2 linked regions of the Pelodiscus sinensis genome follow. The protein of the gene in region 2 purifies or fractionates together with the protein of the main gene of each other region. This does not show direct contact. Links are inferred from orthologs where the notes say so. Each region holds a gene or a part of one and is shown on either strand. Other genes may lie near its edges.

Evidence for each region. Proteins that work in one complex are often made in the same cells at the same time.
Region 1: the proteins of NDEL1 (region 2) and DYNC1I1 purify together in Homo sapiens (affinity purification with western blotting; 3 studies listed by BioGRID and IntAct, with this or other methods). This does not show direct contact. The link is inferred for Pelodiscus sinensis from reciprocal best matches to the Homo sapiens genes NDEL1 and DYNC1I1.

What each region holds. Positions count from the first base shown.
Region 1 is NC_134712.1:211,287,596-211,295,095, reverse strand, and holds the start of DYNC1I1 (cytoplasmic dynein 1 intermediate chain 1), read left to right. Parts: upstream 1-4,498; 5' UTR 4,499-4,631; intron 4,632-7,500. UniProt on the Homo sapiens protein: Acts as one of several non-catalytic accessory components of the cytoplasmic dynein 1 complex that are thought to be involved in linking dynein to cargos and to adapter proteins that regulate dynein function.
Region 2 is NC_134730.1:1,649,657-1,656,948, reverse strand, and holds the start of NDEL1 (nuclear distribution protein nudE-like 1), read right to left. Parts: upstream 3,017-7,292; 5' UTR 2,935-3,016; coding exon 2,869-2,934; intron 1,625-2,868; exon of another isoform or gene 1,475-1,624; intron 1-1,474. UniProt on the Homo sapiens protein: Required for organization of the cellular microtubule array and microtubule anchoring at the centrosome. May regulate microtubule organization at least in part by targeting the microtubule severing protein KATNA1 to the centrosome.

The DNA.
Region 1 (7,500 bases), on a different chromosome or scaffold from region 2:
TGCCCTCTCCCATATAGCATAAAGAGGTTGTTGGGTCAACTGTTGCTGTGTATCACATTGTTTATCATAATAACCTAATGTGATTTTTTTTCATTAATATTTAGTATTTCAACAAACTACAGTAATAAACTGTAAAAAAGATTGTCAAATTATTATTCATTTTAAAATATAGTTGTATATGGACTTCATAAATATAAGAAACAATCAAATGTTGGACCTTCCACACATGACCGTATCATTTATATTTTACAAGTGTGCATGTGATAGAGAATGGGATATAGACAGACATTGGGGCTACGTCTACACTGGCCCCTTTTCCGGAAGGGGCATGTAAATTTCACTAGTCGTCGTAGGGAAATCCGCGGGGGATTTAAATATCCCCCGCGGCATTTAAATAAAAATGTCCGCCGCTTTTTTCCGGCTTTTAAAAAAGCCGGAAAAGAGCGTCTACACTGGCCCCGATCCTCCGGAAAAAGCGCCCTTTTCCGGAGGCTCTTATTCCTACTTTGAAGTAGGAATAAGAGCCTCCGGAAAAGGGCGCTTTTTCCGGAGGATCGGGGCCAGTGTAGACGCTCTTTTCCGGCTTTTTTAAAAGCGGGAAAAAAGCGGCGGACATTTTTATTTAAATGCCGCGGGGGATATTTAAATCCCCCGCGGATTTCCCTACGACGACTGCTGAAATTTACATGTCCCTTCCGGAAAAGGGGCCAGTGTAGACGTAGCCTGGAGGTTTAATCATTTTATTACAGTGCATTTTTTTACATTATATTTACATATGCTTTGGCCAAGCTTGTACCTAAATCTCAGATTTGTGTGACAAAGGGAATGAGAAGTGTTTTAATATACTGGCTATTATTCATATTTCTGTCATTGCCCTCTTTTGGATGGAGTACAACATCTCAGATCTCTCAAGTTGAGGTGGGAGAGGTCCAGGTTGGATATTAGGAAAAACTATTTTACTAGGAGAGTGGTGAAGCACTGGAATAGGTTACCTAGGGAAGTAGTGGAGTCTCCATCCCTAGAGATTTTTAAGTCTCAGCTTGACAAAGCCCTGGCTGGGTTGATTTAGTTGGGACTGGTCCTGCCTAGGGCAGGGGGCTGGACTTGATGACCTTCTGAGGTCTCTTCCAGCTCTATGGTTCTATGATTCATCCATTTCTGAAGATTCATTATCTTGCTTCAAAATGCTGACCTAAAAATACATTTAAAGGCCTAAAACCACTGCTGTTTGAACTCAGAAGTCGAGAAATTTAGAATTCAGGGAACTTTAAGAACCTGGCATCTCTCCTATTGCATAGTCACCTTAGACATCATTAATTATTTAGCTAAATGATTGTCTAATATCACATGGCTGAACATAACTACTTGCAAAATTTTACAGGTATTAATTAAAAGTGAAGATACAGAATTGGGACAGACTGTGGGTGATGATGAAAAATGTATTGTTTGTTATGAATTGATGCTGAAATAGATATTATTAATAATGTTTTCTTGACTCTCCTTTAGAGCTTGTAGTCTAAATTAGATCATGAATTCAACAAAAATGACAAGCCATATTGTGCAGAGGTAGAGAAGGTAAGAAATCAGAGAGCACAAGGAGTAGAGGGCTCACTGCGTTGATTAATTTTACAGGTTTCTGACTGGTTCCTAGGTTTGGTAATTCCCAGGAGCACCCCTAAAGTACCTTTGTAAAGATAGGCACAACAACAACATTTATTTCTCTCCATCCCTCAATATAATAGCTGTTTTATTATACATAAGCAATTTTATTCTTAAAGTTCCTTTCAAAATTTTGTATGATAGACTCCTATAGGGGTATGTCTACACTACCCTCCTATTTCGAAATAGGAGGGTAATGTAGGCATACCGCAATTGCAAATGAAGCCCGGGATTTGAATTTCCCGGGCTTCATTTGCATAAGCCGGGTGCTGCCATTTTTAAATCCCGGCTGGTTCGAACCCCGTGCCGCGCAGCTACACGCGGCACGAACTAGGTAGGCATTCCACGAGGAGTAACGGTAGTTCGTGCCGCGTGTAGCCGTGTGGCACGGGGTTCGAACCAGCCGGGATTTAAAAATGGCGGCACTCGGCGTATGCAAATTGCGGTATGCCTACATTACCCCGCTAATTTGAACTAGCGGGGTAGTGTAGACATACCCCTACTGACTTCACTGGCAACCTGTTGCTATTTATTAATTTGTTTTCTTCTGTACCTTCCCTTTTGACATTGAATTGTGGCATCGTTAGGATAGAGTAAGTGTCATCTAACAATGAAGCTATAGACTTGATGTAACCACTTCCTATTCCAAGGCTATGTCAACACAGCAGCATTATTTTGGAATAACTTATGCTATTCCAAAATAACATAGTCTGCATCTACACACAAGCAATTATTTAGACATAATGTAGAAATAATGTTGAGCTGGAGGACTTCTTACTCCGACTCCTGTAACCCTCATTGTATGAGGAGGAAGGGAAGTTGGGGGAAGAGTACTCTATTTTGAAATAACTGCTGTGTAGACGGCACCAAAAGTTGAAATAAATTATTTTGACTTAAGCTACACAATTAGCTAGTTTAGCTCTGCTGTGTAGATGTGCCCCAACTGACCTGGATGTAGCACATGTCCCTATGCTGAAGCACAGGGGTAGGACATATAAAAAAGTGCATCTCTATGGGGATTGAGGGGCTACGTCTAGACTACATCCCTTTTTCGTAAAAGGGATGTAAATTAGACGTATCACAATTGCTAATGAAGCGGGGATTTAAATCTCCCATGCTTCATTAGCATAAAAATGGCTGCTGCTTTTTTTCGGCAAGGAGCTTTGCCGGAGAAAAGCGCCAGTCTAAACGCTGATGTTTCGGGAAATAAAGCCTTTTCTGAAAGATCCCTTATCCCTCTTGAAATAAGGGATAAGAGATCTTTTGTAAAAGGCTTTATTTTCTGAAAGATCAGCATCTAGACTGGTGCTTTTCTCTGGCAAAGCTCCGTGCCAAAAAAAAAGCGGCAGCCATTTTTTTGCTAATGAAGCACTGGAGATTTAAATCCCCGCTTCATTAGCAATTGCGATACATCTAATTTACATCCCTTTTACGAAAATGGGATGTAGTCTATACGTAGCCAGGGTGTATTGTGGTTTTAAGGAAGTGTGGTGTGAGCAATTGCTGAAACATGGAATTGTATTAATTTGTAACAAATATAATGGCATTTCAAAAAAATATATAACAGCATTTAGGTTAATAATGTATCATGTATCTTTTGAAATGGCCAGTAAAGTGTCACTAAACACTACATCTTTGACCTGGAAGACCAAAGAGTGTGGACTTGGTTTTCCTGTTTTTGACAAATGCCTAATACATCTTCAGTGTTACCATAATAACAATAAAAGTAGACAGATATTTCTCTACTGCTATCATGATGAAATGGTCTGGCTTTGTCCATTCAGGAACATGGCATGACAGTAAAAGACCACTTTGACCCTATTCCTGGACAGCTTCTGAAGAAGGAAGCAGCAAAAAGGGTTCTGCTCTTCAGATGGTGTCTCAAGTTGAACACCCCAAAATTGAGGCACCTCAGCTTGGTACTTATATTTCATATCTTAACTAAAGCCTATTTCCAGGTCTTCCTGTCCAAGGCACAATAGCTTTTAGGAGAACTTAAAGGAAAGAGAGAATCTGTGGGGTGTGTGATATTTGCTACCTTGCTCCAATTGGGGACCACTGTGCCTTCAACAGCAACTGGCCTACCTCAGTCCCTCTGCAAAGCTTTGTTTTTGTAGGTGAGGTTTGTGATTTGGTGCAGCCCAGCTGAATGTGACTAACTAGTAGGGGGCACGGTGAGCCTCTGATGCCTTTGTGCTGGGGTCTGGATGTGGACATTCTTCAAGCTGTGTGCCAGATGCAGCAAATTCTTCTGCCCCATTTGCCCTTGTGCCTTTGTATTGTAGGGCAAACATATGTTCTTTTGAGTTTCCTGTAATATTTGGGGTCACTGACAGGATGTGCCCCTTCCCAATGACACAGGCTGGGTGTGGCCTAACTCTCCTGCTTTGAAATGGTGGGCAGCCCTGGTGCCTGTCATAGGCATGACTAATGGGGCCTTTCCACTCAAGTTGCAGACTAGGTGTCCCTGTGTCAGCCTGGATGTGACTTGTGCTACTGACTCGAGCAGCACAAATGACCCTGATGCTCCTGAATGTGACACTTTCCCCGGTCCCTTTTGCCCTCCGCCCCCCCCCCCCCCCCGAGTCCCTAGCGCCAGGGCCTGGCAGGGATAGCTACCGCCCCCTCCCGCCGCCCCCCGTGAGTGTGTCTCGGGGAGGGGCTGCCTCTCTCGCTGAAGATGCGCGGGGCTGGGCTGCAGGGAGGCGGGGAGATGTCAGTGCCAGGGGCGAGGAGGAGGAGGGAAGCGGCGGTGCCCGGGAGGAGCTTGGCCAGCGCGAGGCAGCGCATTTCCCCAGCCGCAGCAGCAGCGATCACGCTGCAGAGAGGGGCACCACCACACAGCGCAGCGGCAGCAGCCATTGGGGAGTCAACCTGCCGGGGAGCGCCGGGCTCTGTCCACCTCCTCCCAGCTGCCCTGGCCGGGGAGCGCTGCGCCGAACCGCTCCACAGCTGCCCGGGAGCCCAGCAAGGTAAAGCCTGTGGAGGGAGGCGCGTGTCTCTGGGGGTACCACCCGCAGCGTCACCTGCCCGAGCCTGGTGCTCTGAGGTGGGGAAGGACGCGCCCGGGATGCCGAGTGTAAAAGCTGGCAGGGGGCAGGGGGCCGAGAAACGCTCTCTCTTTGCTCGGCTTTTCTAGCACTGGAGAAAGCAGCCAGCCTGCATGGAAAAGGGCGGGGAAGACAGGCACTGAAAACGCCCCCCCCCCCATAGGAAACAGCTCGGGACCGCTCTGCGGTTGCTGACAGGATGCAAAGTGCTCTGGTGACCGCAGCTGAGTGACGCTCTCCTAAATCGGAGGGTCCTCGCTCCGTCTGGACAAAGCCCGGCACCTTTCAAACTAGAGAGACCAGACCTGCTAGCGGGGGGATGCACTAGCTGGCCTCCCAGAGCGTTTCACCAGCCCTCTCGCCTGTCTCCCTGGTCTCGTCCCAGTTTACAGCCATGCCCATTCCTATTAGTGCATCGTCAGAGCAGGTGCCTCCTACTAGGCGGGGTGGGGTGGAGAGGAGAGGAGAGGCTATGGTGCTTGGTTTTCGTGTCAGCTCTGAAGAGGTTAAATCAAAGCCGGTTCCTGTGTTTAATTTCCTGTTTAATAAAAGCAACCACGGACTTACTTAAATCCACCTCGGCCTGCAGAATTAATATTCAATCTTCCCTTATCGCTAGTTTCACAGCAGGGTTAATAAAGGATGGACTGAGAGGCCATTTTCCTATGATTAGTGAGTTTAAATCAATTTCTCAATAAAATGCTTTTATAGCTATGTCCATCCTCTGCCCGGAATTCCCTAAGATCAGCAGTGATAGAAATGTAGCCCTGTTAGTCTGGTGTAGCTGAAGATCAGTAGGCACCATATATATTATTGATTGGAAAAGCATAGATATAACAAATGTGCCATGCAGTAATACTCTATCCAGAACCCTCTCAAAAGACAAGAAACCCACACTTTTAAATTATCTCAGGCCTTGCCCTGGTATGAAAGCCATTTTTTCCCTGTGCCTTGGATTCATTTTCATTTACCAGTATCACTTTTAAGATCCAGTGTGGAAAACCAGACTGAAGTAGCATATGATTGGTTAATATTAATACAGAGTCAAGATCTTCTACCTTCAATACTTTATGGCCTATAGAATCTAAACAGATCAAAATATTGTAACCTAATGCATACTAGGGATGTAGTGGAAAGGCCTGACATGTGCTAGGCTTTGGACACTTGCACCTAGTAATTTATCTTGACGATCTTTTTCTTAGATTTCCTTTACATGTGAGGAAACAAAATGACCTAGAGAACAGGCTCAACTTTTCTATAGTGCAATTCACCCTTTGTCAGGGGTGAAAATGTTACCAATGCTACTGGATGGATTTCTGTCATTGTTATTCACCTGTTTCTAACATGCCACCTTTTTAAGAAAATGGGATATGCTCCTTCCAGAGGCGGCACCTTCCAAATCTTACTTACTCACTTTTAATTGCCCTTTCATGCTCAGAAGTCCAAACAGGAACACCTTTCACCCTGCCCCCAAAATCCTCAACGGGGAGCAATAAAGCTCAGTGCTGTTCCTCTGAGCCTGAGCAAGAGTGGGTTACTCAATCACAATTTGGAGTGTCAGCTCCCCCAAGGGCTGAAATTCTGCCTCGGGGAGCATCTGCTGTGCTCCCAAGGGAACAAGCTCATACCCAGATCCAGCATGTTACCCCTGGATCATGGGGGCTGTCCTCACTGCATACATTTTTCACCATTTAAAAAGCCAAACTTCTCAGTGGAGTTCTACCTCTGTGACACATTCCCTTCCACTTCCCTTCAACCCATAAAAGTGTCCCAGGAGGGCTCTGTGGAGTGTAGAGAGAAGCACACGGTGGGACCAGCTGCTTTCCTGTGGACTCTACTGCACATAAAGAGTAGTAGACACCAACACAAGTTAATATAGCCTGAATCTGAATTACCTTTCCTGCTTTCCTCCCCAAACTGTGAGAACCTGCTTTCTAAGGACAGCTGCAGTAGAGAGAGACCCAGGAAGAGGTGGGGTTACAATGGCTGTGGGAAAATGGTAGCTGGGTGGTAAAAGTGTAGGTGCACTCAAGCTTGTGTAGATCTTCATGATACGACTGACCTTAGAAGTAGATGCTGATATTTGAGGTATCAGCATTGAGTATGTTGAGGAAATACCCTCGACATGAATGGAGCAGGTCACACTTGTCAGATCTATTGTTTCAGGCTCTCTGCTAATGCAGTCAGGCTGGCACTTCTTTTACATTTTCAAGGGTTTCTTTGCAAACACCGAGAGATGGGACTGTGGAGGGAAACTTAGCCAAGGTCTGCACTAGGAGTCAGAGGTGACATGTGGGGTGAACAGATGGGGTCACTTGCCCCTCCAGATTTCTGCCTTCCATTTGGCCTTGCTACCTGAAGGGCTGTTGTAGCAGGGCAGATTCCACTCAGGCACCTGCCACTTCTAGGTGCAGGCGGGTTCAGCCCACTTGACTCCTAACAACTCAGTGCCTTCCCTTCTCTGTGTTCTCTAGTGGAACATGAAGCAGCTGGTCAAATGGGACTGTAGAATCATAGAATCATAGAATCATAGGACTGGAAGGGACCTCGAGAGGTCATCGAGTCCAGCCCCCTGCCCTCAAGGCAGGATCAAGCTCCGTCTACACCATCCCTGACAGATGTCTATCTAACCTGTTCTTAAATATCTCCAGAGAGGGAGATTCCACCACCTCCCTTGGCAATTTATTCCAATATTTGACCACCCTGACAGTTAGGAATTTTTTCCTAATGTCCAATCTAAACCTCCCCTGCTGCACTTTAAGCCCATTACTCCTTGTCCTGTCCTCAGAAA
Region 2 (7,292 bases):
ATACCTCCCAAATGGATATCAATACCAAAAAGTTATTAAGGGAACAATTTCTCTAACCTTGAGAAGTTGGAGATAGAATGGTTTGTTATGCCAAGTACACCAGGGATTCTTAACTATTTTGTAGCAAGAAACATGTGACTGACTGTGTTATTGGGGGCGAAAGAGTTGTTGATCTTCTACCCACAAGTCTAAGTCAATCTTTAAGCAGCTAATATTTACAAGAGACAGAGAACACAGAAGTAACTGTGGACACAAGACATCCCCTTTTGCAACAATGAAGATTTTCTGTTATCGTCAGGAGCTATTTTCCAGACTACTCCAGAATCTGTTTCCATCAGGTGAACTGGACCTTTAAAGCACAATTTTCATTCTATCCAAACTGGACCATCCTCTAGTTCATATTAATAGCATAGTTACAGTGTACAGATCAGAAACAACCAAGGTGACAGATCTATTGTAGTTATGTCAGTGCAATTTAAGTATATAGTTGCACAAATCAAAAAGGGAATTTTATATGTTTTAAACTGAACAAGGACAAATTAAATAGAGATCAGAAATCGATTATAACTGACTATTTCAGACACACAACTCTAACCACAAGTGCATACTACAACATACAAACATTCTGCCCAGAGATGGGCACAGAAATCTCTTCACCTGTATGAAATCACAAGATTCCTTGACTAGCAGAGTGTAATATGCACTGCAGAGGCAGCATGCTCCAGCAAAGGGAAGGGGAGGAGGAAGACAAGTGGCAATTTCAATCACCAGCAATCTCTCATAAGGAACAGCAGTGACAGAGACTGCAAGAGCCCTAGCTAGGCGGACGAATGACTGTTGGAATACGGCACAACGTGTGTGTGGGAAGAAGCTGTGAAGTTGGATCCTTCCTTGGGGTTTCAGCAAAGAGCTGCTTGTTCCCACTGCCTTCACGTGCCTCACACCAGATTTGGGATACTTAGTTTAAGCTTTTCAGGGCATCCCTCTCCTGGTGAAAAGTCTCTCCTGAAGAATGGACCAAGTTAACGCCTAAACCTGCCCTTTTCTCTGCAGGAACAGAAATAGTATTTTCAATGACTCACTGGACTTAAGTGCATTTGACATCATGAGCATATTTATGTATCCTAGCAACCATCTGACAGCAAACATTTTGCAGACCTTTCCCTTTTTCCATACACAGCAGTGAGACTACCACTTTTGGCAAGCAATATATAGGAGAGAGAGAAAGAGAAAGACAGAGAGAGAAAGGCAATCCAACCCTACTGCCCAACAGTGCTTTCCAGGCCCTGAGGATTGCCTTCACCAAAAAAAGTAATCCTGAAAGTGGGCTTTAACCATAGGTTTAGTGGACATGAAGGTGACTAACCAGCAGGGACAAACCACATTCAGCATCACAAAAGATAACCATTGAGAAAAATCCACTAAGAGCAGGTTCTCTCACAGACAGCTGACAGGAGCCTCTGTCCCAACCCACCAGTCAGTTGTAGTCAGCATCATCTCAGCTGCCCAGACTGCTGAAGTCATGTGAGCACAGCCCCAGCTCCTCCAACCGCCGCACCATCTCTGTGGGCCCTGAACATCATGCAGTCCCTGTGCCTGGCAGCCCAAGGACCCCCCCCCCCCGGGGACCCTGCGCCCTCAGCGCCTGGCAGCCCAAGGACCCCCCCCCCCGGGGACCCTGCGCCCTCAGCGCCTGGCAGCCCAAGGACCCCCCCCCCCCCCCCGGGGACCCTGCGCCCTCAGCGCCTGGCAGCCCAAGGACCCCCCCCCCCGGGGACCCTGCGCCCTCAGCGCCTGGCAGCCCAAGGACCCCCCCCCCGGGGACCCCGCGCCCTCAGCGCCTGGCAGCCCAAGGACCCCCCCCCGGGGACCCCGCGCCCTCAGCGCCTGGCAGCCCAAGGACCCCCCCCCCGGGGACCCTGCGCCCTCAGCGCCTGGCAGCCCAAGGACCCCCCCCCCGGGGACCCTGCGCCCTCAGCGCCTGGCAGCCCAAGGACCCCCCCCCCCGGGGACCCTGCGCCCTCAGCGCCTGGCAGCCCAAGGACCCCCCCCCCGGGGACCCTGCGCCCTCAGCGCCTGGCAGCCCAAGGACCCCCCCCCCCGGGGACCCCGCGCCCTCAGCGCCTGGCAGCCCAAGGACCCCCCCCCCCCCGGGGACCCTGCGCCCTCAGCGCCTGGCAGCCCAAGGACCCCCCCCCCCCGGGGACCCCGCGCCCTCAGCGCCTGGCAGCCCAAGGACCCCCCCCCCGGGGACCCTGCGCCCTCAGCGCCTGGCAGCCCAAGGACCCCCCCCCCGGGGACCCTGCGCCCTCAGCGCCTGGCAGCCCAAGGACCCCCCCCCCGGGACCCTGCGCCCTCAGCGCCTGGCAGCCCAAGGACCCCCCCCCCCCCCGGGGACCCCGCGCCCTCAGCGCCTGGCAGCCCAAGGACCCCCCCCCCCCCCGGGGACCCCGCGCCCTCAGGTGCCACATCCCCGCTGATCACCGCCCCGCCCGCACTGGGGCCCTAGGCCCTCGACTCGGCCCCCCTGCCACGCGCCAGCCGAGGGGCCGGCCAGAGGCGCGGGGAGGGGCCGGCAGTGCCGGGGGGGCCGCCGGTGAGTGACGCCCCCGTCACTAATCGCAGCTCGCCAGGGCTCCGGCTCCGGCCAATGGCAGGCGGGGGCGGGACCTGCCCCGTTGTCAGTTTACAGCCAATCCCGTGCGCTTTGCGGAGCAGGAACCGCGGCCCCGCCGGGCGCCCCCCGCCCCCGGGCCCCGCGCTCCCTCACGAGCCCCGGGCCCGCCACAGGGCGGCTCCCCGTCAGCCCCCCCGCGTGCCCGGCCCGCCCTGCCCGGAGCCCGCCCGCGCCGCGCGCCCCCCACTCACCGCGCGCAGCCCTGTCACGGCGGCAGCATCTCCCCGCTGCCTGCCCGGCTCCGAAGCCTGCCTCATCCGGGCTCCGCGGGGGCGGGGCCGCCGCTGTGACGGCGGGCTCGGGGGCGGGGCCGGGCCGCACGTCACAGCGAGGGGCGGGGCCGCGGCCCCGACGCGCCATGGGGAGGCGGGGCTCGGGGTGCGGCGGGCTCTGCTGCCTACGCCCCGCCCCGCGGAAGGGGAAGCAGGGCCGGAAATGCGGGTGAAATCGGGAAAGGGAGCCGCCCGGATCCGGTCACGTGGTAGCCAGGCCCCGCCTCGCGCTGGGGGCGCGGCTCAGGGGCGAGCCGGCGGGGGGCGCCCGGCCCGGGTGCAAAGGCGGCTCCGCGCTGGGCGCAGCGGGGAAGAACAGCGGAAGCGATCGGCTGAGAGAGGCCCGTGCACGGGGGGGGCGCTGACCCCCGCCCCCCAGAGGGGAGACCAGCCCCGCCCCCCGCACGCGCCCCGGGGCCGCTAATAGATTCCGTGCGCGCCTGCCCCGGCCCGGCCCGCGGGGGCTGCAGGGGGGCCCCGTGCAGAGGTCCCCGCCCCGGGGCGCGGCGCTGCGTAGACCAGCGAATCGGCCCGGCCCGGCTGGTCATGCTCATGTGAGGTCCAGGAGATCAGGCACCCCCCTAGACGGGCTGCTGTCACCCCACGCTGCTGCCTCTTTATCAGAGGCAGCAGCACAAAGCGACAGGCAGCCAGTCCGCGAGGGGAGCTGGTTTTTAAACCAGCTCTCCTCCTGGACCCCCTGACTCCCTGCACTGCTGCCTCTGATGTGGAGGCAGCAGCACGAGTGGCAGGGAGGTCTTCGGGAGTGAGGCCAGAGCGCACTGGCTGCTGGCGCTGCCCCTGGGGGCTATCTACTAGCCGTGTCACTGATAAGAATTCATGAGGTTAATTGACTATTTAGTTAACCGATATCTAACATCCCTAGTCGAGACCAGATTACCCCATCCCTGGGCTCTGATTTAGGTAAATATACACTATCCCAGCCCAGAGTAGAGGGAAGTGGGGGGGGGGGGGGGTAAGTTGAAGAGCGAGTCTGGCCCACGCTCAACCTGCATTAGCACTTCCTGGTACTACATCTGAAACAGGACCTGGGCTCAGTCCCACAGGATGGGAGCTGCTGCTGTGGCTTGCATGTGGGGTGAGGTCAGTCTCCAGGCTACCCCGTGGCCTCCCCTCTGACTGGGCCAGGAATAGGGCTGCAGTTCTGGGGAAGTGACACGCGATGAGGGTGATTAAAACAAAAACACAGTTTGTGGGTTGCCTTCGTAAAAAGTTTGGGAGCTGCTGATCTGGGGCCCTCAGGGAAGGGACCGTGGCTCGGTGTGGGTTCACGCAGCACCCTGCCCTGACCAGCTCAGATCTTCAGTGACTGCTCCATTGACTGCAGCAGAGCCACCGGGATTTACTGATCTAGGATCTGTCTTAATACGCCCCAGGACTAGTGCCCATGGATGTGTGTGTCTCACTTAGCTGCTCTATGCTCCAGTTCCCTGCTCTGCGACATGCAGCAGATGGTTCCCTGTCTGGCTTGGATGCTGGGGGGCTTGGTTCGTGTTTCCCGGAGGCTATGAGAAGGGCTCTGGGCGGTTTCACTGTCGTTCCTGCTGCGCAGCCCTTGTCTGCCACTCAGCTCCAGCCAGCCTATGCTAAGCCTTTCCCCAGTCAGAGAACCTATAGCGTAGCGATACGGCTGTGTACTAACATCTGGTCCCTCTCTACCCCTTCTCCAGCATGCCCCACCCTTCTCCCTACTCCCCCTCAGTCTTTTGTCTTTCTCCCCCCAAGTCCCGTATTCTAGCTCACTGCACGGCTGCTGTGTCCGGAATATCCGGGCACCTCGCACGCCTTGACCTATTGGTCTCACAGCATCCCTAGGTGGGGGGGAACTTTGCCACTGAGAAATGAGGGCCTGGATCCACAAAGGGACTTTGGCATTGCCTGAGTCAGCATCGTGGGACCTAAACCATCACAGGACCAACATTCGGTGATCCACAAAGCTGAGTTAGGGCCTCAGTGCATGGGGAAGAAACAGGCACCCACGAATGGGACCCACCAAAGCCAGTATGCTGGGGAGGGGGCTACCTCAGCCAGACAGCGGGAGATGCCAATGACGGGTGTGTGCTAAACCTTGCCCTCCCCTGGAGTACGGCACCTAGGCTGGGCTGCAGGTAGGTGCCCATTGGGACAGGTTGGCCTTGGGGTGCCACCAGGAGCTGGAGTACTGCTGAGCCCTCTGACCCACCAGCCTGAGCTGCTTCTCATACTGTGCTGCTGTGAAAAGCTGCAGATCTGCTCCTGGTGCTACACGTCCTCCAGCGGTCACACGGGTAGGGGCACACCCAGCTGCAATACAGGCAGGCCCCTGACCAGTCACTGCATGGCGCGGCAATAGAGAGGCTACAACTTCCCAGTTTAGGACCCCTCACTGGAGTATAGACCCCACATGATGCCATGTGGCACCGCACAGGGAATTGTACCGTGTCAGCTCATAGAGTTCCCCCACTCCCAATGTGGAGAGAAAATGCAACCGCCCCCCTGAGCTCAGATTTCCCAGCATTTCACTCCAAATGTGCTGGTTTGGATTAGCACATCAAACACGTGTATTAATGATTAAAACCCAAGCTTTTAAGGGATTAAAAGTGACAGCAAACAAATCAAAGCAGATCACTTAGTAAAAACGCAAATCAGGCCTAGGATACTGGAACGATAGGATACGAATTAGCAAACTCTCGCCCTGGCTGAGGATAGAACCAGGCTGTAGATTCTCTAGTTTTGCAGCTTGGAATCCTCAGGTTTTCATACATGGGCTAGAAACCCGTTAGCTTGGGGGCCCACACTGCCCCCAGGTCAGTCTTTGTTCCTCAGGGGTTTGGGGAGGCCTCTGGTGTGGGAGTAAAGAACAGCCTCAGACGTCTCTCTCCACCTTATATCGCTTGGACACATGCAGGAACCCTTTGCTGGAAACTCAGCTTGTGGGAAACGTTGCCACCCCAAGATGGATGCCCAGAGTCCTTGCGTACCTTGCTGAGCCATAACGTACCAGGGTCTGGGACAGTCATAGCAAGGTGAGGTTCTTCCAGAGTCCGTTGGCTTTGCTGATGGGCCGTCAGCGTTGTCTGGCTTCTTCAATGCCGCCCCGGAAAGGCTGGTTGTGGGTGTCGCCCAGAGTGAGCACAATTTTCATACAGACCCAGTGTCGATGTTCCTAACGCTAGGGACTGGAGTGACACATGCACACAAACAGAATAGGCAGAATCAACGAATCACAGCCCCCCGTGACACCTCCCATCACCTGTCTTACACAAAATGCATCGTACTGATGCCATGGCCGTGTCATCATGAGATCCCTGACGAACGTGGCATATAATGTCACGTCCCTGCCTCCTAGCAATACGTGCCTGGGAAGGATCCTATTCTGGAATTAGGCGGCTGCCTTGCTCCTCCTGTAGCAGCGGGGGAGGGGGAGCAGGCTGACCTCTCTGCGTAACTTTTAGCCCAGTGGTTTTAGCACTCACCTGGGACGTGGGGGACCTGGGTCGAATCCCTCCCTCTGTGCTGTCTGCACTCGAGAGGGATGGAGCCTGGCCACGGAAGGGAGCCTGCAGGAACCCGGCTTCCCCGCCGCACGTCCCCCAGCTCAGTGGCTGCAGGTGCACAAGTAGGATAATCGTGTTCGGCTCCCCATGAGGCAGAGGGGGAACCGAGCCCAGGTCTAACCGGTGGGCTCGGTTAGAAGGTAGGTGCTGCTTCCCCTCCACTGGCCAGATTCTGAATGGGACCAAGGCCAGTAGGTGGCCTCTGAGTGCCCCTGCCCAGCCCAGGCCCTGCAGGCGAGTGGGGTGCCCCTCCACCTGTCTTCCCCCAGCTTGGGCATGGCTCTTGCGCTGAGGCAGGAGCTAGGCTACAGCCACCTGCTTAAAAGGAGGCAGCAACGCGCACGCCCAGGAGCGGAGAGGTCGGTGCCAGCTGGGCACCTACAGTTCAGGGCAGCCTAGTGCGGGGCTTTGTAAGTCACAGCGGTGACTGAACCAGGCTTTTAGACACAGAAGTGGATCTGGGCCCATGCGATTTTGTGACGAGGGCGGATAATAGCAGGAGCAGGCTCAGGGACCCAGGCTCCAAATGGATCTCTGGTTGGGGCGGGGCAGGGCAGGAGGGGGCGTGGGGACCGGGCACTATTCCTGCCCCTGCCAAACTGTTCCCACACGTCAGGGTCTCCAGGGCCGGCAGCGCAGCTCTCTGAGCCTTCCCCAGCAACACGTATTTAACACAGAGTCAAATTCAACGGGCCCGCTTCTCTGAGGGAAGGTCCCACATGTCCCGGGTCCAAATAGCATCCCTGGAAACAGGCAGAAGGTTAATGGATGATGATCCGCACTATT